5 separate regions of the Mus musculus genome follow, and regions 1, 2, 4 and 5 are each reported to be linked to region 3. The links are microRNA targets in miRTarBase. Many come from high-throughput screens and were not tested one by one. Region 3 holds a microRNA gene; each other region holds the end of a gene's coding sequence.

Region 1 (6,720 bases), not on the chromosome of region 3:
AAAATATGCAGAGAAGACACTTCAATGGGTGGTTTGAAGATTTGACTGGTTATTTCAGGTCCTATAGTGGGCCCTTTGAGAAATTCCAAAAGAAAAAGATAAGGTCCCTGCTCATATCTAATGAAGGAAGGACAGAGTACAGAATGGTATATAAGTGCTAGAAGAAAGATTAAGAATACTATGACTGAAGAGATAGCTCAGAAGTTAAGAGTACGTACAACTCTTGCAGAGGACCCAGTTCCCAGCAGCCACATTGTGGCTCACAACCATCTGTAACTCCAGTTCCAGGGGATCTGATGCCCTCTTCTGGCCTCCAAGGGCACTAGGCACTCAGATGGTGCTCGTACATAAGTGCATGCAAAACAATACATACACATAAGTAAAAAATAAATCAAGAGAACTGAGAAGCCGTTTATATGGTAGAGGATTTGTTCAACCTCTTGGTGAAGCTGGAAATGCTGTAGTTTATCTTGGTGTCCGTAAAGATCTGGACATGGCAACACACACCTGTAATTCCAGGACTTAGAAACAGAAGGGTCAGGAGTTCCAAGCCAGGCCTCACCTCACCTACTACATAAGACCCTATCTCAAAATAGACAATAATTTTCTACAAAAAGGATAAGGATAGAGTGTAGCCTATCCTTAGCTAAAAAAGAAAGTGATAGGTGTCAATTATCAAAATTAGTAATTAAATTAGGGACAGAGAGATGGCTTAGTGGTTAAAAGCCCTTGTAGCTCTTACAGAGGATCTGGTTTGATTCCTAGCACCCATATGGTGGTGACTCACGACCTATGTAACTCTAGTCCCAGACCAACAGTGCCCTCTTCTGACCTTCCAGGGTACCAGCTATGCACATGATGCACAGACATCCATGGAGGTAAAACATTCATACACATAAGATATTGAAATAAATCTAAAATGAAAAGGCTTAATCGTTTAAAGTCCAGGTGTGGCAGAGCATACCTCTAGTAATCTGGAGGCAAGGTCAGGCAGGTATCTGTTTAAGGTCAGTGTGATCTGCATATCAATTTCTAGGCCAGCAAACTCCACTCAGTAGGACTTTGTCTTTAAAAAACAATTTTTTAAGCGAGCAATGGTGACGCACACCTTTAATCCCAGCACTTGAAAGGCAGAGGCAGGTGGATTTCTGAGTTCAAGGCCAACCTGGTCTACAGAGTGAGTTCCAGGACAGCCAGGGCTATACAGAGAAACCCTGTCTCGAAAAACCAAAAAAAGGGCTGGTGAGATGGCTCAGCAGATAGGAGCACTTGACCGCTCTTCCGAAGGTCCTGAGTTCAAATTCCAGCAACCACATGGTGGCTCACAACCACCCATAATGAGATCTGATGCCCTCTTCTGGCACATCTGAAGACAGCTACAGTGTACTTATGTATAATAATAAATAAATCTTAAAAAAGAAAAGCCAAAAAAAAATTTTTTTTTCCTCTTTCTGGGCCAAAATAGTATGTTCTGACATAGTTTAACAATTAAAACACAGGAAATATCTTTTCTCCCCAGCTTGAAAATAAGGAACTTCGAGAGTTACTGTCCATCAGCAGTGAATCTCTGCAGGTTGGAAAAGAAAGCTCTGTGGCTCCTGCCTCTCAGACCATCAAGTAACTGGACTTCCGAAGGCTGGCTACAGCTTGCCCGTCAGAGCGAGAAGCCGTGCCCTCCTCTCCTGCCGTGTCCAAGAGTCCTGCCGCAGACTTGACTTAGTGTTGGGTAGAGGTATGGGGTGGCAGTTTAGAATTGCCACTTGGTATTCATTGTCCACTAACTAGTTTGGGGTGTACTAGTGAAACTAGACAAGTCCCCCATTGCTGGGACAGAGATGACATTTGTCACTCTAGTCCGGAATCTCTATAAACTGTTACCTGCAGTTCAATGTTGTTTTTCACAGCTTGGAAACACTGAACACTTTTATTATAAGCCAGGATTTTATTTTATATAGGATTATAAAAATTCCTTCTAAGAGTTTTTCAAAGATTTAACTTTTTAAAAATACATATTTGGTGTAAACCTAGATTTTTTTTTTCTTCCACTTGTAAAAGTAGCATGACTTCAAAGAAGCAGATTGGCAGAGTCTCTGAGTGACGTCGCTCATCCATGGGGTTTGATCCTCTCCGGTGCTAGGAGTTGGCACTTTGTGGTCAGGTGTCTTTGCTCTTAATTTGAGAGAATCTATTAGTCCCCAGGAAATACGCTTGAAAACAAGTAAGCCGGGTTCGCGTTGCTCCTCCTCCTCCTCAAGGATCCACAGTCATTCAGAGAGTGCTGAGGAACTTGGGCCTGCCCCATCATGCACAGGGAGCTATTAGATGTACATGACTGTACATGTACATTGGACTTAAATGCCAAAAATAGCTTTTATTTATTTGACCAAGTAGTTTTCCATTCTGTCTGCCTAAGGAGTCTTCGGCTTAGGTAGTTGCCTTGTATGAGACATACACATACACACACACACACACACACACACACACACACACACACATACCTCACTCACAGGTTCCTAGCTCCTAGGCACTTTCATGGACACACAGCTGTGCTGTGCTGTGCTGTGCAGAGCAGCACCACTGGGATGGTTTAGACCGGCATCAGTACTTTGCTGTCTTTCCATCTGCTGGGTTTTCTCATGGAAGCATTTTATTACTCACAGAAAGTTACCACATTCCTGATGCCATGCATTCAGGCAATCAAGAACAACCTGAGATTCTAATAGCTCCCTGTCAGTTCCTTCTCATCTTGGTTTGCTCATATGTCAGGTTTATAAATAATTCCTTTTGCACTGTTTGCCCAGATGGACTTTGGTTTTTGTTCCCATGTTAACTTTCACTCCAGCTGCTCCCCTTGATGTTTCCCCTAAGGGCCCCAAGTGTGTACTCCACAAACCCATTCAGGGGTGGGTTCCTTTACCACTTGTCAGCTGTCACAGCAGGTCCCATCACAGTGAGAGCATTATCAGTCAGTCTATTTCAGCAGTGAGCATGGTGTCCCTTTCTTTATCTGCCTTCTGTTCCCGTAGCACTCACTACAAAGGTCTTTGCATCTAGCTTTCAGAGGAATCTCTCCATTGCAGTCCTGAGGGTAGAGCAAGCTTTCGGTGCCCTGTGTCGTATAAATTCTGCCTGGTGTTAGTGCTGTGAAGGCATTGCAGAGCTAGCACATTGAATGGAGAAAGAATGTTTCACACTTGTGTGAAGATGCTAATATCTCTTGCAATGGGTGGAAGTATTTAGTGTATAAAATTTTAGTATGAAATTATATTAACTAATAAAAACCTTTTTGAGAAGATTTGCTCATTTTACTGAGAAATGAGTCTAAGAAGTTGAGCTGGAAAAAAAAAGGAAGTTTAGCTGAGCAGTGGCGATGTACACCTGCAATCCCAGCACTTGGAAGGCAGAGGCACATCTCTTGAATTCGAGGACATGCAGGTTTACCTAGTGAGTCCCAGGAGACTACACAGGGAGACCCTGTCTTGAAAAAAGCAAAAAGAAGTATAGGAGATTTTTTTCACATATTCACATACATAGCAACCATGGCAAGTGTTCATGACATAGATGTCATAAGCAGCTTGCAATTATTCAATATATTCAGCAGTATAAACCTTTGAAAAGCACATTAACAACCTATTCATTGCAGAAGTCCTGAATGTATAATTTACCACTGAAGTCTATTTCCATGTTTCTTAAAATGCACCTAATGAAATAGAAATTTATGGATGGAATCTGGAATTTACATCTTAATAATCATTCCAGAAAACGGCAGTACCGGTTTAAGAACATGTCTGTTAGGGCTAGGAGATGGCTCAGCAGGTCTAAGTGCTTACCATGAAGTCAGATGGCCTGAGTTCAATTCCTCAGAACCCACATGAGGGAAGGAGAGAACCAACTTCTAAAAATTACCTTCTGACCTACAACACACAAACAGATAAATTGTGTATGATGTTCTGTGCAAATTATTTCACTAGGAGTTAAAAACAAACCGACTTTAAAATGAGAAGAGTGGTAAAGGGATATTACAGAGGGGTGGGATATAGCAGCGCTATTCCCCTCTATGCTGCCTGCCCGATAGCAGCAGATAAATTGGGCATGGTGGCACATGCCTGTAATCCCAGAATTTGGAGCAGAAGCAGGAAGAGCAGAAATCCAAGGTCATTCTTGGCTACATAGTAAATTCAAAACCAGCCTGGGCTACAAGAGACCCTGTCTCAAAAAACTAAACAAAATGTTGTGCAGATAATTTTGATGCAGTGTGTTACATCAGATGTAAGTGTAGGATACAGCACAGAAAGGGCTGTGTTATTTGAGAATCTAAAAGTTGACCAGGGAAGGGGGTGGGGGAGGGGTGGTGCTAGGAGAAAACATAGAAAACAGCTGCAGAATCGAAGTCCAGGGGGTCCTGCAATGGTTACTTCCTTATACTAAGGGGTTTTCTGTGTCAGCTGACACAGCATCCCCGCTTCAGTTCTTTACAGTTCCATACATACTAGAAGGTTCTAATTTGTCCAAAGTGGAGCCAAGAATCACACTCAGGCACTCTTCAGCACATTTCTTAAGGACCAAGTTAAGGCACCTTTAAATGCACATAACTGTGGAGTTCATGGATCTTGATCGGCAAAGTCAGTCAACAGGTTAATTAACAGGGTAAGAGAGACACTATGGCCTGTGTGTTGTGAATACCGTGACTTCTGTTTAGTTCACGCTGCTGCATGGTCCCTAGAATGCTGTGCCTGTGAGTGGTCCTCAGTGTGGAGGGAAGGGTGCATTTCTGCACAGGGTGCCTTTTTCCACGTTGGCTCCGTCTGTGATGCTGTTATCTTGTTATAGGCTACTGCTGTGTCAGATGTCATGCCCATGTGGAAGACAGGGAAAAAATAGAAAACTGCCTGCCCTACACTACAGACACATGGGGAAAGCAAACGTTTCCAGAAATTCTAATGGAGTTCTCTCCATATCTGCCTCACTTATTAAATAGACATGTCTAATTGCAAAGGAAGCTAGGTACACAGCCGTGCCAAATAAAATCAGTATCCTCTTAGCAAAGAGAAATCATACTGAGAAAACAGTAAGGCCTGATTGTTACAGTAAGGCATTTTACCGTAAATATAATTTTTAACAAATTAAAATTATTAGCTGCAGGGATGCCTACGTTGAGTCACTAAGAAAATGAGCTGTAGTGGACACTGTTATTTCTTTACTGACTGCTCAATGTCCTACCCATGCCTGGGTAAAGTTTCCCTGCCTAACGTGGCAGAGCCTCCCTCTTTCCTAAAGAATCTGGAAGTACCAGTTACCCAGTTTCCCAGCCACCTTGGCATCGAGGAAAGATTCAGCTGCTTTGAATTTCAAAGTTAGTGATATGGCAAAGCTGGGAGCCACACAGAAACCTCTGAACCTGGGGACCAGCAACACAGGCTGCTGCTGGGTTTGGCTCCATAGAAGAGCAGCAGAGCAGGTCTGGAGTGCTAGCAGGCAGCTGTGGAAGACCCAGTGTATGCAGTGGAGACTGGAGACTTGCTGCAAACATCCTTATAGCATTAGACGCAAACCTCTTAAGTCTCATTTCCTGGCTGCCCAAGAGATCCTGAGAAATATTTTTAATGAAATTAATAAAACCATTTTTGTTGAAATTAGCCTGAGTTGCCTATATCTAAGAAATCTGATCAGGAACAAATTTCTAAACAACCATGCACATATAAATGTTATCAGTGCTTATTTTTGCACTTAAATTTTTATGTAATATTGGGCATTTATAAAAGGATAAGATGCGCTGGGTGTGGTGGCACACGCCTTTAATCCCAGCACTCAGGAGGTAGAGGCAGGCGGATTTCTGAGTCGAGGCCAGCCTGGTCTACAGAGTGAGTTCCAGAACAGCCAGGGATACACAGAGAAACCCTGTCTCAAAAAAACCAAATAAAACAAAACAACCCCCCCCCCAAAAAAAAGGGATAAGATGGCAATGCAGGCACATTATCATGCATTCATTACCTAATTTAAGAACTCAGTTATTACCAGTGTGGGGAAAACACCTGCCTAGCATACACAAAGCCCTGGCTCAAACCTCAGGCACCACAAAAGCAAAACCCAAATATTACCAGTACTAGGCAGGCCACTTAGCCCACTTTTAATCCCAGCACTCTGGCTGGAGTTAGCAGCAGATAGATTTCTATGAGTTCAGAGATGAGCCTGATCTACATATTGAGTCCCAGAACAGTTAGGGTCATATAGTGAGACCCTGCCTCAAAAACAAACAAACAAAAAGGCATGCTTTAATCCCAGCAGGAGAGAGGCAGAGGCCCACCGATCTCTGAGTTCTAGCCTGGTCTACGGTGAAGGCAGTGGTGCTCATTTTTTTAAAATCCTGCTTTTATTTACCCCAGGGGCCCAAGGGTCCACACTTCTCAACAGAAGCACTTTCTAAGCAGTTATTTGAGGATGCTGTGAATACAACTTTGTTGCCTTCACCAGCGCTCCTCTCTCTTTAAAGTAAGATCTTTTGTGTGGTCAGGCCTGGTATCTGTGTAGTGAGATCCTGTCTCAAGAACACCTGTTTTGAATGTATGTATACATGTTCATGTGTGTATGGGCAGCAGGCACTTGGGTGCCATGGTGTACATGTAGAGGTTAGAGGCTAGTAGCCTCAGGTGCCAGTCCTTGTCAGCTGAAAAGTCTCTTGTTTCCTCCTGTATACATACACCAGGCTAGCTGCCTCCTGAC
Region 2 (6,485 bases), not on the chromosome of region 3:
CGTCAAGGGGCTTGGTGTCACCATTAGGAACTTCTTCCAGGGCTTACCAGTTGTGCGGCACCCTCTCCCTTACATCCTGTCCCTCATCCTGGGTCTTTCTATCATCATCCAGGTCAACTTCCTCAACAGGGCACTGGATATTTTCAACACCTCATTGGTCTTCCCCATCTACTACGTTTTCTTCACCACGGTGGTGGTGGCCTCCTCCATCGTCCTCTTCAAGGAGTGGTATACCATGTCTGCTGTGGACATTGTGGGCACCCTGTCTGGCTTCGTCACCATCATCCTGGGTGTTTTTATGCTTCACGCTTTCAAGGATTTGGACATCAACCAAATCAGCTTGCCCCACACGCACAAAAACCCAACTCCAGCTCCCGCCCCAGAGCCCACAGTCATTAAACTAGAAGACAAGAATGTCCTTGTAGATAACATAGAACTTGCCAGCACACCATCACCCCAACAGAAGCCCAAAGTATTTATGACCGATTCTTAAAGCCTGGAATGCATGAGTAAGAGGAGGCAGCCAATGGTCCAGCCTGACCTCTCAAGTTCACAACTACCTGGTTACTTTCAGCACATCTGTTGCCAAGGGCTAGTTTCTTTTTTTGAGATATTCATTTATACCTCACTGCTGTTCCTAGACGAAGAAGAAAAATCCCTACCCAGTAAGGTAGGGGCAGGACTTCCTGGAGATACAGCCTTGGTGACTAAATCCACAAGTCTCTGTTAGAACCAGCAAGTCCCCAGAGCCTCTCCCCTCTGGGTCCCTCAACACCACCATGTTGTTGGTAGAATTTGACCTGCTGAATGTAGCCCAGCTCAAGAACTTCCCTCAGCTATCGGTCATCGGGAACTCCTTCACACCAATTAGCCTGTCAGGCTGGACTTCTCAGTCCTTAGCCCGGGAATGGAGCTTGTGGGGGAGTGCAGAGCAATCTGCATGCCTCGTCATGCCAAGGTGTGTAGCACATACTAAGTAGCCTGGTGTTTCTTGTAGACAGAAGCAAGACCCCAGCTGACCTTCTTACTGTGAATACCACCTGATGTCTCAGGGAAGTTTCAACTGGCCCATTCTCCAAGCACTTGAGGTCACATCTTGTTGTCTGTGCCTCCAGTGGCAGGCACTACTATCCTTCCCTCTCTGCCCATCCCAAGATACCAGTCACTGACACGTGTAGGCTGTAGCCTTAGAACCAACAGCAGGGGATGCCTCCTAGTCCAGCTCCGCTGTTCAAACCCATGTTCACCTAGCAGCCTCTGGGAAGAGAACAGCACTGTGCTGTCATGCTGGAATTTAGCAGAATGCAATTTCTTTGCATCAAGAAATTGACTATGATATGACTTGGGGAAGAGGGGGAGAGTATAAGACACAATGTCATGGTTGTCTGAATGGAGTCATGGGCTCTATGGAAACCTGGACATAATGTTTGGCCTGACTCAGATTCGAGCAAGGACCAGACCTCTGGGGAAATTTCCTAGCTGTATCTAGTGGAATTGGATTAGAATCCCAATAATCAAATGGGAGTGCAGGCTTGACACAGCCTTGTTGGCCCAACTGGAACTGAGTTTATCTCCATTGACAACCTAGCTGCCCACACTGGAAACAGCATGCCATGAGTCCTCCACCATCACCTGCTCTTAGGGTCACTTTTGGTGACCTTACATTTGGCCAGAAGCAGTCAGAGAATAGCAGCTGGAGAGAGAGAGAGAGAGAGAGAGAGAGAGAGAGAGAGAGAGAGAGAGAGAGAGAGAGCCTTTTCTTCCAGTTCTTACAGCTGTGAAAGTGTAGACTTGACACAAGGAGCATAAGAGAGTGAAGTTAGGAGCCAGTTTGTGGGGAAGGGGAAACTTGATCTTCAGTGTACGTAGCACTGTCAAAATACGATCCTGTGTTCGAATCTGATCCCCTAAGTACAACCACACCCAGGTCAAACTGTTTCTGGCCTTGGACAAGCTCTTAGGGCAGATCAACACTCTGGGCCCTATACCTTCCCAATCCCCAGTATTTTCATGAATGTGGATTTCTGACTGTGACTGAAATCAATGCAACACACTGGATCTTGGGGGGGGGGTTAGTAAACTGAAGGTTCTGAGAACGTGGGCTCTGGGGTCAGTAATAAAGACTTCAGGGTGTGTTTACTTGACAAATGTCCTGACCTTCCATGTACACGGAGCAAATTCACTCCACTGGTTCCTCTCACATACTGGGATGCCAGTCCCTGATCTCCAAAGCAAAGCCCTCCTGTGTCTTCCAAGATCTGCCCTCACTCAAACAGGGAAGGTTGCTGTATTTCTTAGTACCATTCATGTAGAGGTGATGACCTTACTAGGAGCCAGGCATATGGCAAAAAGCATATGAAATACGAAGGATGATGCTTTCTTAGCATTTACATGAGGGTTCAATGAGATGACTATCTTAGGGTTTTATTGCTGTGAAGAGACACCATGACCATGGCAACTTTTATAAAGGAAAACATTTCATTGGAGCTGGCTTACAGTTCAGAGGTCTACTCTATTATCGTCATGGAGGGAAGCATGGCAGCACACAGGCAGGCCTGGTGCTAGAGAGGTATCTCAGGGTTCTACATCTGGACCCCCAAGCATCAGGAAGAGACACTGAGTCTGGCTTGAGCTTCTGAAACCTTAAAGCCCGCCCCCAGTGACACACTTGCTCTAACAAGGCCACATCCACTCCAACAAGGCCACACCTCCATTAATGCCTCTCCTTATGATTCTATGGGGGCCATTTTCATTCAGACCTACACAGTAAAACTCCTGTGGTTATTAATAATCTTAGAAAACCTCAAAACAGAGGCTGGGAGGAAATGGGTAAAAGTTGGTGAGAGACCAGCAGTCTCCACACAGACCTGGGAAATCTTAAGTGCACACAAGCTGGCCTCCCTGCACCTACCCACTCAGCCCGGGACCCACACTAAGTCTCTCCTCTTCATTAAAGCACACCCCCTAGTGAAGAGAGTTGGTCACAGAGTATCTCAGCTGTCTTCTAAAGTTAATAGTGTAGAAGAATGTTCTAGAATCTAAAAGATTATGAAAGCCTTTGGTAATCCAAGATTTAATGAAACCAGACTATCTTGAGCACAGGTACAAAGCAGGCAGCCCTGACTACTGGCCATGGGAAACCCCGGGGCATCACTGTGGCACAGGTCATGGCCGACTGGAAGGCTGTTGGTCTGTATGAGTCCTCTGAGACGTTCACATCACATGTCTTAAGTGGTCCTGGCAGTGGGATTACCGAAACAGTTCACACACAAAAGAGCCATCCAAACAGAGAACATTTCCTCATGACAATTTGTTTTAATTAAATACAAACAAGGAGAAAAAAATAACAACAACAACAAAAAACAAGGCACCATGGCCCATTCAAGTATTTTGCATAGATGTACAAATATTGTAAACAATCAATAGGAGGACATGAGAGGGGAGGACTACTTCCTGTGAACAATCTCCCAAATCAAAAGAAAATTCACATTTGCCCTGGATCCCAGACATAGACATATACAGTCATACAAGAGGATACTGGGTGCATGACTTTGGGGTGCTAGGCTCGGATTCTACAGAACCTCTCCCTAGCAGGCTTCCCTGGGACGGGGTACCTTTCCAGTTGGTGTTCCCTGGCTTGTGTGTGGAGGATTCCTTCGGGTCTGTTCATTACATGCATTTGACAAAATAACTAGCCTCCAATTTTAAGAATACAAGTCTCACCTCCACTTTGTCAAATAAGGAAGTGAATTGAGCCCAGGGGAGACACTGAAGGATTATTGCAGTGTTGCAGGGGGGCTATTGCAACAGAAGGAACTGTCGCGTTACAGAGAACACTCCGACACTAGCATCTACAGTGTCTTGGAGCAGGGGTAGAGAGGGGGTATTCTCTTCCTGGTGGAAGTCACCAAGGCTAGAAGGAACAGAAAGCAAGCAAGGAGTTGTAACTTGGACGGTATTAGCCCAGGCTATACCTCTTATAGAGATGGAGAGCTGAGGTTTACAGGTCAGGAATGGCTTTGCAGTTCTAAGGTTGGCAGGCAGCTAATCTAGCTCCAAAAAACATTTACAGCCTAGGCTGGAGGATGTAGCTCAGTTGTAGAGTGTTTGGCTATATACATATGAAGGGCTGTGTTTGAACCCAGGGCCACATAAAGCATGGTAGCACACACCCGCAGTCTGTACTCAGGAGTTCAAAGATCATCCTTGGTAAAGTGACTTAAAGGCCAATCTACGATACATGAGATCCTGTCTTCATTTTTGTTTTTCTAGAGGGTTTTTTTTTTCCTCTGTGTGGCCCTGGCAGTCTTGGAACTTCCTTTTTAGACCAGGCTAGCTTCAAACTCGAGATTCACCTGCCTATGCTGGGACTAAAGATGTATACCACTAAACGCAGCTACAAACCTTCCCTCAGCCCACCAGAGCCTTGGCTTTGACCTATTCTAACATCTTCTGACGTCTCTCTTCAGTGGCTGGGAACAGAGGTGCCTTAAACAGTTCTTGTTCTTGCTCACATTGTATGCATAAGAAAAGCGCTTTCATTCAGTCTTGGATGCCCTCACAGACTTGGTGTAGGAAGACCAAAGTGTTCTGTTGCAACTGCCCCTCCTCCTCATGTGGTAATATTCTTTCATCTCCTAAGTGACAATCCTGTGAGACAAACCCTGTCCTTGAAGTCTAGATACACCTGTATGGGACCCTTCACAAAGCAGATGGGAAGGGATTCCTGCCTGTGACAGCCTAGCTGGCCTCTGGAAACAAAGCCTTGAGTGAAGTTGTGTGTAGAGCAGCTGCCGACATTTCTACCAAGTTTAAAAAAACCCCGTCCTCTTACACTTCACAGTATAATGTCATGGGATGGAGGTGGTAGCAAAGTAATGAAAAAGAAAAAAACAGAAGTGATTACCAAAGAGCAAGGAAATGGGTCTTTTTCTGATATGGTTCAAGGGACAGAAAGTGGAGGGTTTCTAACTTTGTGGTGAGAATCGGGGTGGCCTGTAGTCACCGGCCACTTGGTAAAGCACACAAAAGAGAAACTGATATAGGACATGGACTGAGGCCTCAGAGAGTGTGAAGAGCACGGTCACCCTGAAAAGGAGAAAGGTGCTTTCCTGAGATCTTTCTACCCCAGGCCACGTCTGTCATAGCTCCCACATGTCTACAATCCCAAAGCTTACTCTGGGAAGAGATATAAGGAGGCCTCAGGTGGTAAAGGGGAAGTCAAACGCTTGCCTCTTCCTCTGGAGGGTTCCAAGAGCTAACAACTGCTTGCTGTTGGGGCGGGGAGGCCCCTAGAGAGCCCTCTGCAGTGCCATTAGCACCTTTCTGGGGGTGGAAGATGGCCTCTCAGAGGCCAGGCCCAGCAAATGTGTAAGAACTGTTCCAAATAGCGGAGCACCAAGCAAGAGAAGGTCCACCCCATCCCATTCCCACCTTCTCAGCATTTTCCATGACGATCACCTCGGGGCAGCAACCAGGAGAGACCCGATGAGGTGCGTGATAAAACTCTGGTTGAATAGAGTTTGGGGAACCCTGCCCAGATCTGGTTCACCATGGCTGTTGACATCGATCTGTTCAGAGTCACCAGTCCCCCCTCAGAGCTGACCACTAGGGCGGGGCTGGTGGCCCTGTGTATACAATACTATAGCCAGGATGCCAAACATGTCAGCCCCCCTCAGTACAACTGTGGCTGTCCTGGGGAACCTTACTTAGATATGAGTCAGAAATAAGGAGGAGGTCCCTTATTCTGCTTGAGGCCGTAAAACACAAGTACATGCAGAGCTGTCGGCCTGCCTGCATGTCTGTCTCTCTCATTGCCTCTGTCTCTTTCACACACACACACACACACACACACACACACACACACACACACACACACACATACACGCCCACTCGGCTCAACGCTCTTGAGATCCAGTGCAGAAAGTCCAGTGGCGACCCCATATGGCAGGATCCCGATTTGTAGGTCACCAGCATATGGTCATCAGCAAGTCAGGACTGCCATAGTTCACCACCAAAGCACCATAGGATAGGGATGCTGGAAAAGGAGAAGGTGACACATGGAACACTGGGGATGGATGAATGGATGGATGGATGGATGGATGGATGGATGGATGGGGATTCTAAATGTCCTTAGTGACCTTTGGCATAACGGCTCAGAGGGGACACAGGTTGACCACCCCACCCCCCTGCTGTCTATGCTACTTACAAATAGTACCTGTCTGAGTCAGAGTGACCCGTGTAAATATGGGAGTGGGAATGTGAAGAAAGGCAGGGGAGGGGAGCATGGCTTATCACATGCAGCCAGAGAGCCAGGAACAGGCACCTTGACCAAGCCCCTTGGGGTAGGGATGTAGCAGTAGCTTCCTCAGCAGCCTGGGATCCCAGAAGGAGGCCAATCAGTGACACTCGCGTGTGTTCCTGCCAGCATAGGACCAGGATGGGTACCTTCTCCAAGCTCCGCAGAGGAGGACCCCAGCTCAAGC
Region 3 (4,000 bases):
GAACTTTTTCCATTTTTTTCGAATCGTTCACAAACATTTCCTACATAATTCAACACACAACAGAGAAATGGTACATCTTTTTTCTTTCATTGTGCATACAATGGAAAAACAAGTATATATATATATTTTTACAAAGTTCAACTAACAAGACACTAGCAGGTTGACAGCTTTAAGTCTATAGGTGAGAAATTATCTAACAAAAATAACCAGGATTTATTCAGCATCAGCCACTTCCATAACCAAGTTTACTCTGGTTAATAAAGCTCATTGCCCATCAGGCTTCTGGCATATACTTAAGATGCGTAACTCTTGTAGTATTGCTCCCCACCGCAGTTCTCCACAACTAACAGAAAACTGTTGAAAAGTAGTGGCAAACATTTGCAAAAACAAACAAAATCCCAAGCTTATTATAAGCATGAATATGTGATGGAAATTTATCAAGCCAAGTCTTTCCAACCATTAAGAAGTCACCCAAACTGAGTTTGCCAATGTATTTTGTCTATGTCCAAGAGGTGCACTTATATCCAACAGAGGAGCTGCTGAAAATCAAACTTAGTGTTTAGTTTAGGGGTGGGCTGGAAAATTCAACCACCATTTGAAATTGTCTTAAAAAAAAAAAAGACCACCAAAAATAGATTCACTAAATTTATTTTAAAAATCATAAAACGTTTCTTACAAAAGAGCATTACATTCTGCACACTGCTCTGAACAAATGCCAGGGACATGTGGACTATTACTTTCCTCCCTGTCCCACCCCCCAATGTTACAGTGACCACAAAGTAAGGTGTTCACAATAATTACATGGGGGGAATTTTTTTTAAAACCACCAACAATGAACAAAAAATAAAAGTCACTCACTCTGCTGCTGTTTCAAAATTTCAATGTTAGTTTTTGCATGCCCTCCCCCCAACCCTGTTTGTAAGGAACTAAAACATTACATCTGGTGAACAGCAAAGATTTCACTACACCTCAAATGCAGAACACCTATGAAGCAGAGGAATGTTGGCTTTTTAAACAGAAGCAGATAAAAAAAAAAAGATGCAGGACTCCTTCAGTTCTTCACTAGTCTTAGAAAAACTTTCCAGAATACTGCTTCACACTATAAAAAAGAAAAAATATCTTGCATTAGAATCCTTCAACATCTGCATACTGCTTCACACTATAAAAGAAAAGAAAAAAAAAGTACGAATTAGAATTTTTGTTCAAAACATCTTAATCAACATTAAGACAATTTCAATGATAAATTAAAATGATAAACATGTCCATTACAATTAGAAGAACTTTTAAAGAGCAATAGCAACTATAAATTAAAGCAATGTAAAACTCAAGAAAATGTTAATAGACAGTAGTAGTGCAGGGTTAAGAAAATGAAACTGGAAGCTGTTAATACTTGGTAGGAAAGACAAAGGAACATGAGGAAGGTGTGAAATGCTGCGTTTGACAGCACCATCATTATCTGTCCTGTAGAGGTGGCCTGTGCCATATGGCAGACTGTGATTTGTTGTCGTTTTAGTTATCTAAAAACAACAAAATCACTAGTCTTCCACACAGAACTAGGCCAACATCCAATGTCTCTTCTACATTTTCTACAGGCTCTGTATAAATTATTACAAGTGGTGGTTTTGGCAGCAGTTTTCACCAGAGAAATGAGAAGTTTGCTTGGTTAAGGCTTCTTCCAGCAAGATTAGTATTGAATGTCTTCATTTTAGTAAGAAAACAGAAGAAAATTAAGGCAGAGCTATTAATTAGAATATTTAGAAGTTAGATTCCCCAAGTGACGGAAACACCATGGTTTCTAAAAGAAGAATCAATTGGGAAGAAAAGCTTTTTAAAGGTTTTAGTATGTGTACACTAACATAAAGCTAAGGGTCAACTGACCTGTTCTGCAGCAAATACTGTGCGTTCTGTATCTGGTCCTGTGTTCCTGTAATGGTAATGATCCGATCTTCAGATCCTTCTAAAGGTTCATCAATTTTGATTGATGCTCCAGATTCATGACGAATTTGTTTAATCCGCTGACCACCTTTGCCAATAATAGATCCAGCCAACTGAAAAGATTGTAAGTGTTTATGATGACTTGAAAGAAATTTTACTCCCTTTTATCAATGACAAAATGTAATAACTTTATAGTAATTTATTTAGAACGTCAGTCTTAAATTCCTGAAATAAATTTTACATATGTGTATTTTAAGAACCCCAAACTGTCTTCTTTTTGTCACTAAGTATCATTTGATCTAAGGTTCAAAATACCCCCTCCATTAAGTTCTTAAACATTATCTCAATCCTAAACTGGAAGTCTTTGTCCAAGAAGCAGCAACCAATACAAGTAAGTAAATTCCCCGAATTAAAAATACTCTAAATTAAAAATACTTACATCTTTGGGAATAGTTACTTGTGTAGTGATAATAGGTCCGCCAAGATCACCATATGAGCCACGGCCCCCTGCATAAGAATAGTCTGATTTAAATAATGAGCAGCAAGTTCACATAAAAATAAGATTGAAATAATGTTTGATTTCAAAAAGAAGAAACTTACCATATCCAGAACCACCCTAAAAACAAAAGAAAAAAAATTACTTAATATTTCTAAAATATCACAGAGCTTAGAAAAGCAAAGTCCTCCCATACCACCCATACCCAGTTTATCCAGGAAATAAACTGAATCAAGAAATTACAGGGGTAGGGAGGGGAGACCAATTATTATGGACAGTCAAGGTAAATTACCAATATGTACATTATTAACATTATTGATACTCAACCTGTGGTTCATAAGCCATTTGCCATTCTGATGGGCTCCATGTGTCAATTGCAGAATCCCAAGTTTCATCAGCACTGAACCCAACCTGTATTACATACATAAATACCAAACTTTTAGAGGGCTGTGAAAATAATTTCAATTTTAAAAAAGCTCTTAGTACTACAGTCTCACACAAATGTTTGGTTATAAGGTCTCTGAAAACACACATGCCGCCCTTATAAATCAAAATTCTTACCATGCCATCATAGCGGTCTCCAGGCCTTCCTCTTCTGTCATAAGCCATTAGATCTCTGCAAGCACATGTTGCAATGTTTACATGGTCACATTAAAATCACCCCCCCACACACACACACTGCTAAGTGCAGCCTCTTTTATTAATGTTAATGTTTGGATAAAAACTTACCCCCCTCTGGGTGGTGGTGGAGGAGGAAGAGGCAGATTCCGGGCTCTGCTGCCACCCCGGCCACCTCGACCAGGTGGTGGTGGTGGAGGTCCTCGACGAGGGCTCATATCATCATAATCTCTTCTAGAAGGAGGCATGGGACGCCCACCCCGACCAGGAGGCATTCTGTCAAAACCACCTCTTCCCCTCATGGGGAATCCCACAGGTCGTCCTCGGCGGTCATCAAACATCATTGTAAAACCACCATAATCATAGGTCTCATCATAAAAGTTGGGATCATAAGGTTGTGCACGTCCTTTGATGGGAGACTAAAAACAGAAACACAGCACCTTAAAGCCTGAAGAAAAATAGCTCTGGTCCTATCAATTAACCCATCTCAACCATTATTAACTCAAAAGGTAACAGAGGCAGGGACACAATGAAGCAATGATGGAAAGGATTTCTAACATACTGACCGGGGGGCGGGGAGGTGGATGTGGGTCAGAGACAGAAGGATCATTACCCCAGATATCTCTGTAAGAAGTGGGTAACATGGCACTACAGGGACCTTTGAGTAAGGACCAAAGGCACTATATTAAAGGAGGCAATAAAAAACTTGCAGGGAGATGTCAAAATTAATGGTGTGAATACTGTCTTATTTCTGGTAGTTAGATGAAACTGAATGAAATAAAAATATCCCAAAGATACCTCAGATATAAGGTCAAGGATGATCTTGATGCATTCTACAACCCTATCAGGTTTTCCTCCAATAAGAACAACTCTGTCAGTAGAGTGAGGGCAGCACTCCTGGAAAAGCTTGATTGTTGTCTGAGTGTTCTATAACATTTACAAAAGAGAAAA
Region 4 (6,673 bases), not on the chromosome of region 3:
TGCTGACAAAGATGCAGAGTATAGCAAGGACTATACAGAGAAGGCCTGTCTCAGAAAAAAAAAAAAAAAAAAAAAAAAAGCAGGCAGGCAAGCAAACAAGTGACAACTCATGGTGGCAAAGATGTGGAATATGGGGAACATTTATCCATTCCTGGTAGGAGTGCAAACTTGTATAGCCACTATGGAAATCAGTGTGGTGGTTTCTCAAAATGAGAATTGATCTACCTCATGATCCAGCTATACCACTCTTGGGCATATTCCCAAAGGATGCTTCATCCTACCTCACAAGACACTTGCTCAACTATAATCATTATTGCTCTATTCATAAAAGCAAAAAATTGGAAACAACCTAAATATTCCTTAATAGAAGAATGGGTAAAAAATGTGGTACATTTACAAAATGCAATATTACTTAGCCATTAAAAAATAACATCATAAAATTTGCTGGCAAACGGATGGAACTAGAAAAAAAAATCCTGAGATAACGCAGACCCAAATAAATATGGTATGTATTCACTTATATGTAAATATTAGCTGTTCAATAATAACTAAGATACAATCTATAGAACCACAGAAGTTAGGTATAGAGTAAGGAACTAAGGGGACAAGTAGATCTCATTAGGACAGAGAAATATAATAGTTATGGATAAATGGATGGATGGATGGATGGATGGATGAATGGATGGATGGATGAATGGATAAATGGATGGATGGATGGATGGATGGATTGGTGGGAGGCTGGAATAGGAGGATCAAGTGGGTAGCAGGAGAGGAGATGGACATGAGGAGGAACACAGGTGGAAATATACATAAATTGAGGCCATTTGAAGGATAGTATGGAAACCTAGTACAGTATAAGATTCCTAACACATATACATACACAAAGATGATCTAAATGAAATTGCCAAAAAATGGGGGAGACAGAGCCCCAACTGGCCACCAAATGAAGCTTCCAGTACTGGGACTGCTTATATCCAATTGAGTTGCTGGCTAAAGGGCTACCATGGGAATTTCCAAACAATTCAGGCTATTGCTAAGACTATAGGTTGCTCTCTACAAACTGCCAGCAAGGTGTTGATGACAACACCTAGACACCTCATTGAACATAGAGAAGTCAAGTTGGTGTCTACATAGAGCCTTTACCCCGTTCTAGTGTTTCTGGTACTCTGCATACCACCAAAAGAAAAACGTAATCACCAAGTCAGCCATAAACTCTGTGATCACAAGACATGCTAGGGCAATGGTGGCACAAAGCTTGTGGGAGTTACTAACCAATATCTAATTTGACTTAAGGCCCACTTAACATGGAACCATACTCAACACTGCTTGGGTAGCCAAGAACCTGTGACCAGATAGCTCAGAGACCTAGGATAAAACCAACTACTAGTGTTCTAAAACAAAACACAAAGCAATGAAATGAGTCATAGTGACACAGCTATACTCAGATACAAGTGCCTTTCTTGCTCAGCCATCATTAGAGCTTTCTCCTGCAGCAGATGGGAACAAAAATGGAGACCCAGAGACAGACACTGGGGAGTGAGACCTTCAAAACAATCTCATTTAGAGTCAAGTGTTCCATCAAATCCTTCCCCTCAGGACTCAGGAAACTCAATGAAAGGAGATGAGAGTATAAGAGCCAGAGGGAATGGAAGATAACCAAGAAAACAAGGCCTCATCAACGTAAGTGAAGCTCATATGAGCTCAGAGAGACTGAGGTAGCATGCACTGGGCCTGTACGTGTCTGTGTCAGGTCTTCTATGTATACATTATGGCTTCCAGATTAGTGGTTTTTATGGAATTCCTGAGTGTGCAAATGAGTGGGTCTGATTCTTGTGCCTTCTCTTGGGCTGCTGGTTTATCTTCTACAACTCAGATGTGATAGTTTTTCGTTTTATTTTATATTTTATTTTGTTATATCAAAGGAAGAAGAAGAAAAAGAGGAGGAGGGGGACAAAGAGTAGGCAGGGGGAGAAAGAGGAAGAAGAGGAGGGGGGAGAGGAGGTGTAGAAGGAGGTGGGTGAGGAGGAGTAGGAGGGGGGGAGAAGGAATGCCCTATAGCTAGGTATGGTTAGCTCACATCTGTAAGCTTCACCACTCTGAAGGTTAAAAAGTGCTAATGAAGGCTAAGAAAAAGAAGGGGAAAACCCTCATTGCATAAGAACAAGTCAGCAAACAAAACAACACAGCCACCATTCAGGAAGGCAGTGAAGTCCAGAATACAAATTAGAAAGCTCGCCAACTTGAGCTTTCCTTTCTCTTGACTGGGTGGCAAGGCAAGTGGTTTGCCTTCATAGGTCGCTGCTGTCTTGGCAGGCAGGCAGGCAGGCGGGATCAGGGAGACTCATCTGAAGACTTGAGGGTCGGATGAACTTTCCACCTGTCCATACAGCTCAGAATCCAGAACCATTTGGTGAGGGTTTTGAGGGGCTTCCGCAGGGCACTGCCAGCTCCTTGTTCCACATCTGTCCTCTGGCCAGTCACCTGCCTCCCGGATCTCACAGCCAAGGTGTCTCTCTTCAGGGTATATGGTTTGATACTCACCTGTGACTGTTAGAAGAAAATCAAGGGAGCAGTGGAAGTTGGAATGAGGCAAAGGTGCTAAATGTGGTGAACCCTCACCCTGCTGCAGCCCGAGAGCTCAGCTCAACTCTTGTTTCCTTGGCTTATGTGGCAGCATCTAGAGCATTGAAGGTCAGAAGGACAGAGTCTAGCCTCTGAGGGATGAAGTGAAGGACACCCTCTTTTATGCATGCTATATAAACATCCCTATGGAGACTCACCCCTAGCTCATGATTGATGTCTTAAAGAATGGACTCCGCAGAAGTAACAGAGCAAAAGACTGGCAATTCCTAGTCCGTTTTCCAGATGACCTAAATGCCATATGTCCAGAAAGGAACAAGGGTTTGCTCTTGGGAGTTCCATGTTTTCCTGAGCATTTGCTCCACACTCCCCGGGGCTGTGTCACTAGCTGCCTTTTCCCAGGCCCAGTTTTGTTTGGTCTGGCTTTGTGGCTCAGATCAGGAAAAGCCTAGCAATTCCCTTAAAGTGATGCATGTACAGACAGCTTCCTAGTCTGGATAGACAGACTATTATCAGATACTGAAGACATCCAAAGGGAATTCTTTCTCAAATTTATGGCTTTTCCTTAATGGCTGACTGTGTGTGTGCGTGCGTGCATGCGTGTGTGTCTATACTTAAATATACAAGTATAACACGTGCAGGCGTTCAGTTTTTTTGTTTTTGTTTTTTGAGACAGGGTTTCTCTGTATAGCCTTGGCTGTCCTGGAACTCACTCTGTAGACCAGGCTGGTCTCGAACTCAGAAATCCGCCTGCCTCTGCCTCCCAAGTGCTGGGATTAAAGGTGTGTGCCACCACTGCCTGGCATGTTCAGTTTTTAAGTTAACTTGCAGGAATATTTTCTCCTTGCAGGACTATTTCTCCTGCTCTCAGCATTCCTTGGTTACCTGAAATTCTCTGTTTAGAGTTGAGGCCTTGTGGTCTTCCCTCTATCCATGTTGGTAAGTCCACTGATGCCATCCTTGCTCAGGTAGCCATGTTAGTGACTTCATGTGTGTAGCTTCTCTGACATCCCTAGGAGACACAACCCCACGAGAAATCCCTGCTCTGGCTCTCAGTCTTTCTGCACCCTCTTCTGTAGTGATCTGAGTCTGAGCCTTTCATGCAGGGCTTCTATTATATTTATCTGTTGGGACTATCCTCCCTGCCCCAACTCTGCACTTTGATCAGGTGTGTGTGTGTGTGTGATGGTCTCTGTCTATTGTCGCATAGAGAAATTTCCTTGATGAAGGGTAAGGATTAATCTATATATCTGGGAAAATGCTTAGAATAGAGACTATATTCATTTAATAAAGTGGCAGTTTTAGGTTATCCTCTAAGAATCATGACTTCAGGCTGGAGAGATGGCTCAGTGGTTAAGAGCACCGACTGCTCTTGCGAAGGTCCTGAGTTCAAATCCCAGCAATCACATGGTGGCTCACAACCATCTGTAATGGAATCTGATGCCCTCTTCTGGTGTGTCTGAAGACAGCTACAGTGTACTCACATACATAAAATAAACAATTCTAAAAAAAAAAAAAAGAAAAAAAGAATCATGACTTCACTAGACAAGCTGGTCACCCCCCACCCCAACTTAATTTTCTAGACAAGGTCCAATTATATAGCATTGGTTGGCCTAGAACTTCCTATGTAGACCAGGATGGTCTTGAACTCAGTGATCTGCTTGCTTCTGCTTTCCAAGTGCTAGGGGCTCCTCTGTCTACATTTTTGAATCGAGACAGAATAAAAGCAAGACATAGTGACTCATGCCTATTACTTATACACTGGAGAGGCTTAGCATGAGGATTGTCATGAGTTCTAGGCTAGCCTGGGGTACAAAGTGAAACCTTGTCTCAAAAGACCAAACTGGAGCTGGTGAGTTAGTACAGCAGGTAAAAGCACTTGGTACACAGCCTTACCCGAGTTCAATCCTTGGAAACCTTAGTAGATGCCTTAGTAGATGGAGAGAACGGAGTCCTAAAAGTTGATTCTGTATGAGCATCTCTCTCCCTCCTCCCTCCCTCCCTCTCTCTTTCTCTCTCTCTCTCTCTTTCTCTCTCTCTCTCTCTCTCTCTCTCTCTCACACACACACACACACACACACACACACACACACACACACACGAACCAAAGGGTAATAATAAATTTCTACAAAACAAACCAAGCCAGGCATAGTGTGCGGATCTTGAATCCAACATTTGGGAGGCAGAAGCAGGTGGTTCTCTATGAGTTTAAGGCCAGCCTGGTCTACAGAGTCAGTTCCAGGACAGCTAGAGCTATATAGTGAGACAATATCTCAGGGAAAACAAAAACAAAAATAAAAACAAACAAACAAACAAACAACCCTCTCCCAACAAAAATACACAAAAAACAAACCTCCTTAAAAAATAAAATAAAATCAAGCAAGGAACATCTAAGACCCTGACAGAATGGAAAGTCAGGGTATGCAGAGCGATTATCTCTGGTGGAGTCCTCCACTTTATACAAGAAAAAGGAAGAGACTGGTGAGTTGTGAGCACTCCTGTAAGTGACCATTTCTTACAGATCCCCTGAACAATTTTAAATGATTTGAAAGAAAAGAATTTCCTCCCCCATTAAAGAAAAAAAAAAAAAAAAAAGGCAATGCAACCTTTCCCGGCGCCACCTTTTTAATAGGTCAGAGGAACTGTACAATTTATTATATTCTTCCTGAGAATAATTTATATCCCCCAACAAACTAAAGGGAAGGTATGCTCTCAAAATCACCTAACAGAATGCATGGTATACCAACTGGACATCTAAAGAAAACCACATCCCTGTTTGTCCTGCGGGGTCCTCCCTGGGAAGACAGACGCAATGAAGGTCAGTTAGCTCCAGTGGCTGTAAGAGTCAACATGGCTTTAATTATTCTTATAAATTATATAAAAATGGAGAACAGGGCTGGTCCTGGAATTTCTTGATGCAGTTGGGAGTGCTCTGGTACAAAACTGGCACAGAATTCTGATGAGGAAAGGCAAGTTTTTGTCAGTTCTACAGATAGTTCGCAACCCAATGCTTCAGTATCCACAGGAGAGAAGGCGGAGACAGGGAGGGCAGAAGTTTTCTTTTGAAACCACTCATTCTTCAAAATATAGCTTTTATGCACTTTCTCTATAAATGAGATTAGCATATTGCAACACAGTCTGGATAGGAATTCTGGCAGGAAGGATAACCAGTCTCCATGGTCTCAGGGAACCCTCCCTCCTCAGACATTTCTCTTCCAACTTGAAGTCATGGTCAGTATGAATTACCACTTCTAGGAACACACATCCCAATTTGAACACCAAGTATATTTTAAAAGCTTCTTAATGTATAATCTTCATTCTCAGAAAAATGCCACATTTTGGATCCAGAGTTTTCTGAACACTATTTAGAAAAATAACAAAATCAAAACCATGTATAAGTGATGAAACTTATACAAGAGAGACTTTCAGCTAGCTGTCATTCAGTTGGAGCCGTGAGCACGGGCTACAGAGGCTAAGGTTACTTCCTCGCTGCTGGTGGAATGCTAGAGAAGATCTCCCAAAGGGCAGAAAGCCACGTTCAATGGCCAGGGGCTCAGTGTGGCCGTGTCTGCCCTAGCATTTTCAGTCTTGCTTGATCAATAACATCAAGTAGGTTCTTGGCATCCACAGCCAGGGCGTGAGCAGCTGTCAGCATCTGCTTCTTATACTCCTGCTGCAGGCTGGTCATGACGTACTGCTGCGCCAGCTTCATCTTGCTGATGAGCTCGCCTAAGTCGGAGTTCAGCAGCTTCTGTGCCATCTCGATCTGGAAAGACAAGAGAGAGGTCAGAAGAACGGCTCCCAGGCACTGGTTCTGAGTCTGTCTTTGAGCCACCAAGACAAAAAAGAAAAAAAGAAAAAAAATTTCCCTGGAAGAAACTTTCCTTAGAAGTAACAGGATAAGTTGGGCATGGTGGACAATGCCTTTAATCCCAGCACTCCAAAGGCAGAGGCAGGTAGATCTCTGTGAGTTCCTGGTCAGCTTGGTCTATACAACATACAACAACTTCTAGTCCAGACAGAATTACACAGTGAGGGGATAAAAGGACCGATTTCAACAGGATGTGCAATCTGTCTGTTTGTCCCCTTTGGA
Region 5 (6,720 bases), not on the chromosome of region 3:
AGGTAAAGATCTGGAGATGGAGGGCACAGAAAGCACAAAGACTCTTCCTGTGGCTCAGTGGTCAGTGTCCAGAGATGACGTGCAGAGAGCTGGGGTGTAGCGCAGAGGTCCCGCACGTGCACAGCACGGGTGAGGCTCCGGTTCCAGCCCCAGTGCTGATGTGCTGCCTGCCTCCTTATTTTCCAGGGTGTCTCCTCCAACCTTTTCTTTGTGGAGCACAACTTTCCTGAGCAGGAGATCCAAGAAGGCAAAAGTCACCAGAACCAGCATGAGGCACACTTTGTGGTGGAGCTGTGCCAGTACCTCCTGTGCCAGGAGTACCTGCCCTCCCAGATCACCATCCTCACCACCTACACTGGGCAGCTCTTCTGTTTGCGCAAACTCATGCCTGTCAAGACGTTTGCTGGCATCAAGGTCCATGTGGTGGACAAGTACCAAGGGGAAGAGAATGACATCATTCTCCTCTCACTGGTGCGGAGCAACCAAGAGGGCAAGGTGGGCTTCCTGCAGATCCCCAACCGCATCTGCGTAGCCTTGTCCCGGGCCAAGAAGGGGATGTACTGCATTGGGAACATGCAGATGCTTGCCAAGGTGCCCTTGTGGAGCAGGATCATCCATACCCTTCGAGAGAACAACCAGATAGGCCCGTCCCTCCGCCTCTGTTGCCAGAACCACCCTGAGACCCACACCCTTGTATCCAAAGCTTCTGACTTCCAGAAAGTACCGGAAGGAGGCTGCAGCCGGCCCTGTGAGTTCCGGTTGGCCTGTGGTCATGTGTGCACACGTGCCTGCCATCCATATGACTCCTCCCACAAGGAGTTCCAGTGCATGAAGCCATGCCAGAAAGTCCTCTGCCAGGATGGGCACCGGTGCCCAAATGTCTGCTTCCAAGAGTGTCAGCCTTGTCAGGTGAAAGTGCCCAAAATCATTCTGAAGTGTGGTCACAAACAGATGGTCCCTTGTTCAATGTCAGAGTCAGAGTTTTGTTGCCAGGAGCCTTGCTCCAAGATACTAAGATGTGGTCACAGATGCAGCCATCTCTGTGGTGAGGATTGTGTGCGGCTGTGTTCAGAAAGGGTCACCGTGGAACTTAAATGTGGGCACAGTCAACTGGTTAAGTGTGGCAATGTGGAAGATATAAAATATGGTCTGCCAGTCAAGTGTACCACCAAGTGTGACACTACTCTAGATTGCGGCCATCCCTGCCCAGGCTCCTGTCACAGCTGTTTTGAAGGGCGCTTCCATGAGCGCTGTCAACAGCCATGTAAGCGCCTGCTCATCTGCTCACACAAGTGCCAGGAGCCCTGCACTGGTGAGTGCCCACCCTGCCAGCGAACATGTCAGAACCGCTGTGTCCACAGCCAGTGCAAGAAGAAGTGTGGGGAGCTGTGCAGCCCCTGCGTGGAGCCCTGCGTCTGGCGCTGCCAGCACTACCAGTGCACCAAACTCTGCTCAGAGCCCTGCAACCGGCCCCCATGCTACGTGCCTTGTACCAAGCTGCTGGCTTGTGGCCACCCTTGCATCGGTCTGTGTGGGGAGCCATGTCCCAAGAAGTGCCGTGTCTGCCAACCAGATGAAGTCACCCAAATCTTTTTTGGCTTTGAGGATGAGCCTGATGCCCGCTTTGTGCAGCTAGAAGACTGCAGCCACATCTTTGAAGTGCAAGCCTTGGACCGCTTCATGAATGAGCAGAAGGATGATGAAGTTGCCATCAAGTTGAAAGTCTGCCCCATCTGTCAGGTACCCATCCGCAAAAACCTGAGGTATGGAACCAGCATCAAACAGCGGCTGGAAGAGATCGAGATTGTCAAGGAGAAGATCCAGGGCTCTGCAGGGGAGATTTCAACCAGCCAGGAACAACTTAAGGCCCTGCTGAAGAGCAAGACCCTCTTCCATCAGCTGCGTCCTGAAGAATTCCTAATACTTCAAGAGAAGCTGGCCCAGAAAAACCTGTCAGTGAAGGACCTGGGCCTGGTGGAGAATTCTATCCGCTTCTATGACCACTTGGCCAACCTGGAGGGGTCACTGGAGAAGGTGCATTGTGGAGAACAGCAGAGCGTGAGGACTCGACTTGAGCAGGTCCACGAGTGGCTGGCCAAGAAGCGCCTGAGCTTCAGCAGCCAGGAACTGAGTGACCTCCAGAGTGAAATCCAGAGGCTCACCTATTTGGTGAACCTCCTGATGCGCTGCAAGATGGCCGAGAAGGTGAAAGGCAGCATAGCAGAAGAGGTCTCCAGCATCCGGAACATTCTTGAAAAGACAAGTAAGTTCACCCAGGAAGATGAACAGCTTGTGCAGAAAAAGATGGATGCTCTGAAAACCACCCTTCCCTGCTCTGGCTTGGGCATCTCAGATGAGGAACGAGTGCAGATTGTCACTGCCATGGGTGTTCCTCGTGGGCATTGGTTCAAGTGCCCCAATGGCCACATCTATGTAATTACTGAGTGTGGGGGCGCCATGCAAAGGAGTACCTGTCCCGAGTGTCAGGAGGTGATCGGTGGGGAGAATCACACTCTAGAGAGGAGCAACCACCTGGCCTCTGAGATGGATGGAGCCCAGCACCCTGCCTGGTCGAACACAGCCAACAACTTCATGAACTTTGAGGAGATCCACAGGATGATGTAGAAGATGGCACCTCAAGGCCTTTTGCCCTGCCACCTCAGAGCCAGGGTTGGCTCCTCCATGGAGGAACCAGTTTATTAGTGTCCTTTAGTCTTCGCACTTGTCTAAGGATCCACTTTTAGGGCTTGCCCACATGTGATTCTATATGTACCCTGCGCTAGAGTAAGCACTTTACCCCCAGCACTGAGCAGAGCCCACAGTTCTCAGCTCCTCGACTGTAGCAAGTAGGACTGACTCCTGGGAGCTTCCGGCCTCCACCCGGGGATATTAGGGTGATTGGGTCCTGGCATGGCCAGCACTTCTGCGCGTGCCCAGGGTGCACTGCTTCTCATGTCCAGGCCCTAACTTGCATACTACCATTGTAATAACAGCAACCCAGAGAGAGCTTTAGGAACCACTTTACCTTCAAGGAGCACAAGAACCCAGGCACCCTACTCCTTGGGCTCCTGCCCTCCTGGAGATGGAGGCCTGTGACAGGCACTTCAACTCTCCATGGCCCAGTTATATACTCACTGTCCCCAGTGGGGCGGGGCTTTCACAGCAGACACAAGCTGAGTGACCCCTGCACCCTCGTCAAACTTGCACTCAGATAGCAGGGGTGGATGTGTCTCTCTGCAGGAGAGGTTCTGTGGTGGTGGTGGTGTCAGCAGGTTCAGTGTCAGCAGCACCTCCTGTGAGTCTTTATCCAGGCACCCTCCCTTGCAGCCTTTGCCTGGGTAGGGTTAGCATGCCAGCAGCTTCTGCAGGCCCCGACTCCAGGCCTACTGCCTGCATCTGCATCTCTTTCCATGTTCCTTAGAACAGATTTAGGCATCTCAGGTCCTTTCTAATGTTGTCTAGGAAAGCCCCTTTCTTATTGTATGCATTTCCTTTTTTTGTCTTTACTATGCACTTTAACCTATAAAGCCAATTAATAAAAACAATGATTGAAAAAAGCCTGTCATCTCTTATCTGTGCTTGCTTTGTTGCTGTATTGATAACTGATGCACCTAAGGTTTCAGCTGTGTCCAACAACCATCACCATCCTAGACCCATGGTTTGTTTCTCTTCCTAACTTTGATTAGCAATTGTGGGTAGGGCACAGCCTATGGTGAGGCATGTCATTTTTGGTAGTGGAGGTCATTTAACTGATGAGCCAAATTTTACCCATGGTAACATTCTCTAAGTACAGCAAATGTCTCCTGAGTCCCGAGACTACACTGCTTGCTGTTCCTAGCACATTCACTGTGCTTGACCATGCGGTGGGCATTGGTGTCAGGACACTAGGGAGGGGCTGCGTTTCTCCTTCCACTGCCTGGGTCCCCAAGATGGAGCCCCGGTCAGTCTTGCCTTTGTTGACTAAGACTTCTCACCGGCCCCATCTTTTAACATGGAGATCTTCCCACCAAAGGCAGAGCCAGGTCTGACCCACAGCCCAGCAGCAGGTGAGCTTTGACTTAACACAGAGCCCTGAGCTGGCAGCTGTGAGCAGGGCATGCAGCTGGAGAACAGGCCCTTTGCAAACGGAGGTAAGGCAGTCTAAACTCACCAGATAGACTACTTGCATTTAATATGTGTAGGGAAGCCAGTCAGGAAGGGAACCCTGGCACAGCAGTGCGTACCTGTAACCCCAACAATCTCTACAGTACCACAAATTGGAGGCCTTAACAGCAGGCTCCAAGCTAGCCTGTGCTACACAGTGAGATGCTCACATTTTTAAAAAGGCATGCATGCATAAATGACTAACACTAAGAAACAGCTCCTAGATACTAACCCAACAGATTCACAGACAACAGGCTTGTTCAAGAAGGTCTGCTGTTCTTAAAGATTTTATTTATTTTATGTATGTGAGTACACTGTAGCTGTCTTCAGACCCATTAGAAGAGGGCATCGGATCCCATTATAGATGGTTATAAGCCACCATGTGGTCGCTGAGAATTGAACTCAGGACCTCTGGAAGAGCAGTCTGAGCCATCTCTCCAGCCCCAGGTTTGGGGTTTTATATATGGAAAAAAACCAGACCAAGACAAGATGACTTCCCACAGGGAAGGGATATAAAATTGTCCCACCAACTTCTTCACACCACTGAGACTACTTCTTTCTCTTGTACCTATTAAGGAAATCAATATTATAAGTACTGCCTCCCACCCAGCCTGCCTCTCCGCCCATGGGTACTGCCTCTGCCCTCTACAGTGCAACATCACCTGGACTTAGATTTGAAGTTCCCTCTCCTCTGGCGGGGCAGACCTGACTGTTTCCTCTCTTCAAAGGAAGGGCTGTAAGACAGATGAAGAATGAGATGGGTAGGCTGTGGGACACGTGAGGGATGTCACCCATATTGGCTTCACAGGCCAGCCCAGGTGGGATGGGTACCCTGAGGGGAGTGCAGTGCCTGGGATTCAGTCTCCTGTGGGCTTGTGCAGAACAATGTGCAGTTCTGGAAGCCAGACACCAATTTCACATCAGTGGGCAGAGGCTTTTTGAAGTTGTCTGGATGAGGGGGCTTATGGAAGCACACTAAGTTCTGCTCTGCTCATCATTACAGCATTGGGAAGCGCTAGGCAAGAGGCAGAGTGAGCGAGCATGGACAAGGGTGCTTTCGTGTGAGCGGCACTTTAAACCTACCCAGCCCGATACTGTTTCAGGGCCTTCTTGCTTGTGTTGGTGAGTTCTTCATCAAACACAGACTTCTGCTGCTGCTTCTGCTTTTTAGCTATACACAGAGAAAAATGGGTCAGAGGCTACTGAGTTCCCTGACACTGAGGGAGAGAATTCCAGAATCCATGGAGGGCCAGGTTCAAGGATACATCCCAGTTCCTCCAAAGCTTGATCACTGCCATCCCTGCCAGCTCTTGCCATGGTGCGAGCCTCAGAATGGACACCCTATCACTTACCAGGGCCTGTAGGCTCGTCCTCAGGCATTGCCCGTGCTCGCTTGGTTCTGCGATTCCTCTTGGCCAGCCGCTCTGCAAACATCTGTGCCTTGAGGATTTCAAACTGGGACCTCTCCTCTGCCTGGGGGCAGAGTGAGGGATGAGCACAGAACACACCAGTGCTTCATGGGACCCTACTCCACAGGGAGGCCACTCACCGTCATCTCCCCCTTTTTCTTGGCATCCTTCATAAACTTCTTCCTTTTCTTCTTTCCTCTTAAGGCCAAGTCAAACTCCTGTAGAGCCTTAGCAACTAGAGTGAGGACAGAGTGTGGAATTTAGGGGCTATTTGATTATGTCATTAAAGCTTAAAATGAGAAGGAACTAGAGGTGACAGCTCACTGAGTAAAGTACCCTTCAGGGAAGACTGAGGGCCTGGGCAGGACTGCTCCCTTAATGGTTGCTGGGAGAAGGGGAATTGAGGTTTTCAGTGGTGCAGCCACTGGCAAGGTGACCCTGTTCAAGAGAATCATCCCACTCATGCTCATGTCAGAGACTTCACTAAATGCAGCAGCCTTGAAAAGAGACTTCAAGTCAGGAAGGAGCTTGCTGGAAAGACACTCAGCACCAAAGGTGAGGGTGGTGGGGAAGGGACAGGTGGTGTGTGTGTGTGTGTGTGTGTGTGTGTGTGTGTGTGTGATGAGAGAGAGAGAGAGAGAGAGAGAGAGAGAGAGAGAGAGAGAGAGAGAAAGAGAGAGAGAGAGGGAGAGAGAGTGCCAAGTATACTAACACAATAAAACTATGATAAAAAGCCGGGCAGTGGTGGCGCACGCCTTTGATCCCAGCACTCGGGAGACAGAGGCAGGCGGATTTCTGAGTTCCAGCCCAGCCTGGTCTATAAAGTGAGTTCCAGGACAGCCAGGGCTACACAGACAAACCCTGTCTGGGAAAAAAAAAAAACCAAATAAACAAAAAACAAAAAACTATGATAAAATAAACATACAAAGTTTTAAAAGAGCTGAGGACTTGAATTTGATACCTAGAACCAACTTTTTAAAAAACTGGCTCCTTGACACAGGGTCTATGTACCCCTGGCTTACCTGGAACTCACAGAGATCCACCCACCTCTGCCACCATAGTATGAAGATAAAGGTGAACACAGGCACCTAGAACCAGGGGGGGGGGGGCAGGAAGAGGAGGAGGAGGAGAAGGAAAGGAAGGAAGGAAGGAAGGAAGGAAGGAAGGA

The links. The annotated mature microRNA mmu-miR-7a-5p reads UGGAAGACUAGUGAUUUUGUUGU and lies in region 3 at 1,524-1,546, opposite strand. An mRNA with a match to its seed (bases 2 to 7 or 8) in the 3' UTR can be bound and repressed. Matches are read on the target gene's strand: a 7mer-m8 pairs with bases 2 to 8, a 7mer-A1 pairs with bases 2 to 7 and ends in A, and an 8mer does both.
Region 1: miRTarBase lists Sike1 as a target of mmu-miR-7a-5p. Seed matches in the 3' UTR shown: 7mer-A1 at 2,039-2,045.
Region 2: miRTarBase lists Nipal4 as a target of mmu-miR-7a-5p. Seed matches in the 3' UTR shown: 7mer-A1 at 1,759-1,765 and 8mer at 2,247-2,254.
Region 4: the mRNA of Ptk2 is a reported target of mmu-miR-7a-5p. Seed matches in the 3' UTR shown: 7mer-m8 at 5,379-5,385.
Region 5: miRTarBase lists Ddx27 as a target of mmu-miR-7a-5p. Seed matches in the 3' UTR shown: 7mer-A1 at 4,556-4,562.

What each region holds. Positions count from the first base shown.
Region 1 is chr3:103,000,189-103,006,908 of GRCm38, forward strand. Sike1 (suppressor of IKBKE 1) reads left to right here. Exons shown (of 5, transcript NM_025679.3): 5 at 1,520-3,726. The coding sequence ends at 1,621. Among named protein-coding and RNA genes, the nearest start is that of Sike1, 7.8 kb to the left of the region's middle.
Region 2 is chr11:46,144,154-46,150,638 of GRCm38, reverse strand. Nipal4 (NIPA-like domain containing 4) reads left to right here. Exons shown (of 6, transcript NM_172524.3): 6 at 1-2,484. The coding sequence ends at 493. It overlaps Adam19 (a disintegrin and metallopeptidase domain 19 (meltrin beta)), which reads right to left. Exons shown (of 23, transcript NM_009616.4): 23 at 3,292-6,485. Among named protein-coding and RNA genes, the nearest start is that of Gm35624, 19 kb to the left of the region's middle.
Region 3 is chr13:58,391,318-58,395,317 of GRCm38, forward strand. Mir7-1 (microRNA 7-1) reads right to left here and starts at 1,569; the gene lies at 1,462-1,569. It overlaps Hnrnpk (heterogeneous nuclear ribonucleoprotein K), which reads right to left. Exons shown (of 16, transcript NM_025279.3): 9 at 3,848-3,976; 10 at 3,161-3,468; 11 at 2,993-3,047; 12 at 2,759-2,842; 13 at 2,536-2,551; 14 at 2,375-2,457; 15 at 1,879-2,048; 16 at 1-1,099. The coding sequence ends at 1,069.
Region 4 is chr15:73,199,915-73,206,587 of GRCm38, forward strand. It overlaps Ptk2 (PTK2 protein tyrosine kinase 2), which reads right to left. Exons shown (of 35, transcript NM_001358046.1): 35 at 5,191-6,346. The coding sequence ends at 6,134. Among named protein-coding and RNA genes, the nearest start is that of Ago2, 18 kb to the left of the region's middle.
Region 5 is chr2:167,032,630-167,039,349 of GRCm38, reverse strand. It overlaps Ddx27 (DEAD box helicase 27), which reads right to left. Exons shown (of 21, transcript NM_153065.3): 17 at 5,693-5,787; 18 at 5,496-5,616; 19 at 5,227-5,314; 20 at 4,806-4,877; 21 at 4,405-4,711. The coding sequence ends at 4,693. Znfx1 (zinc finger, NFX1-type containing 1) reads left to right here. Exons shown (of 14, transcript NM_001033196.2): 14 at 187-3,557. The coding sequence ends at 2,625. Among named protein-coding and RNA genes, the nearest start is that of Ddx27, 21 kb to the right of the region's middle.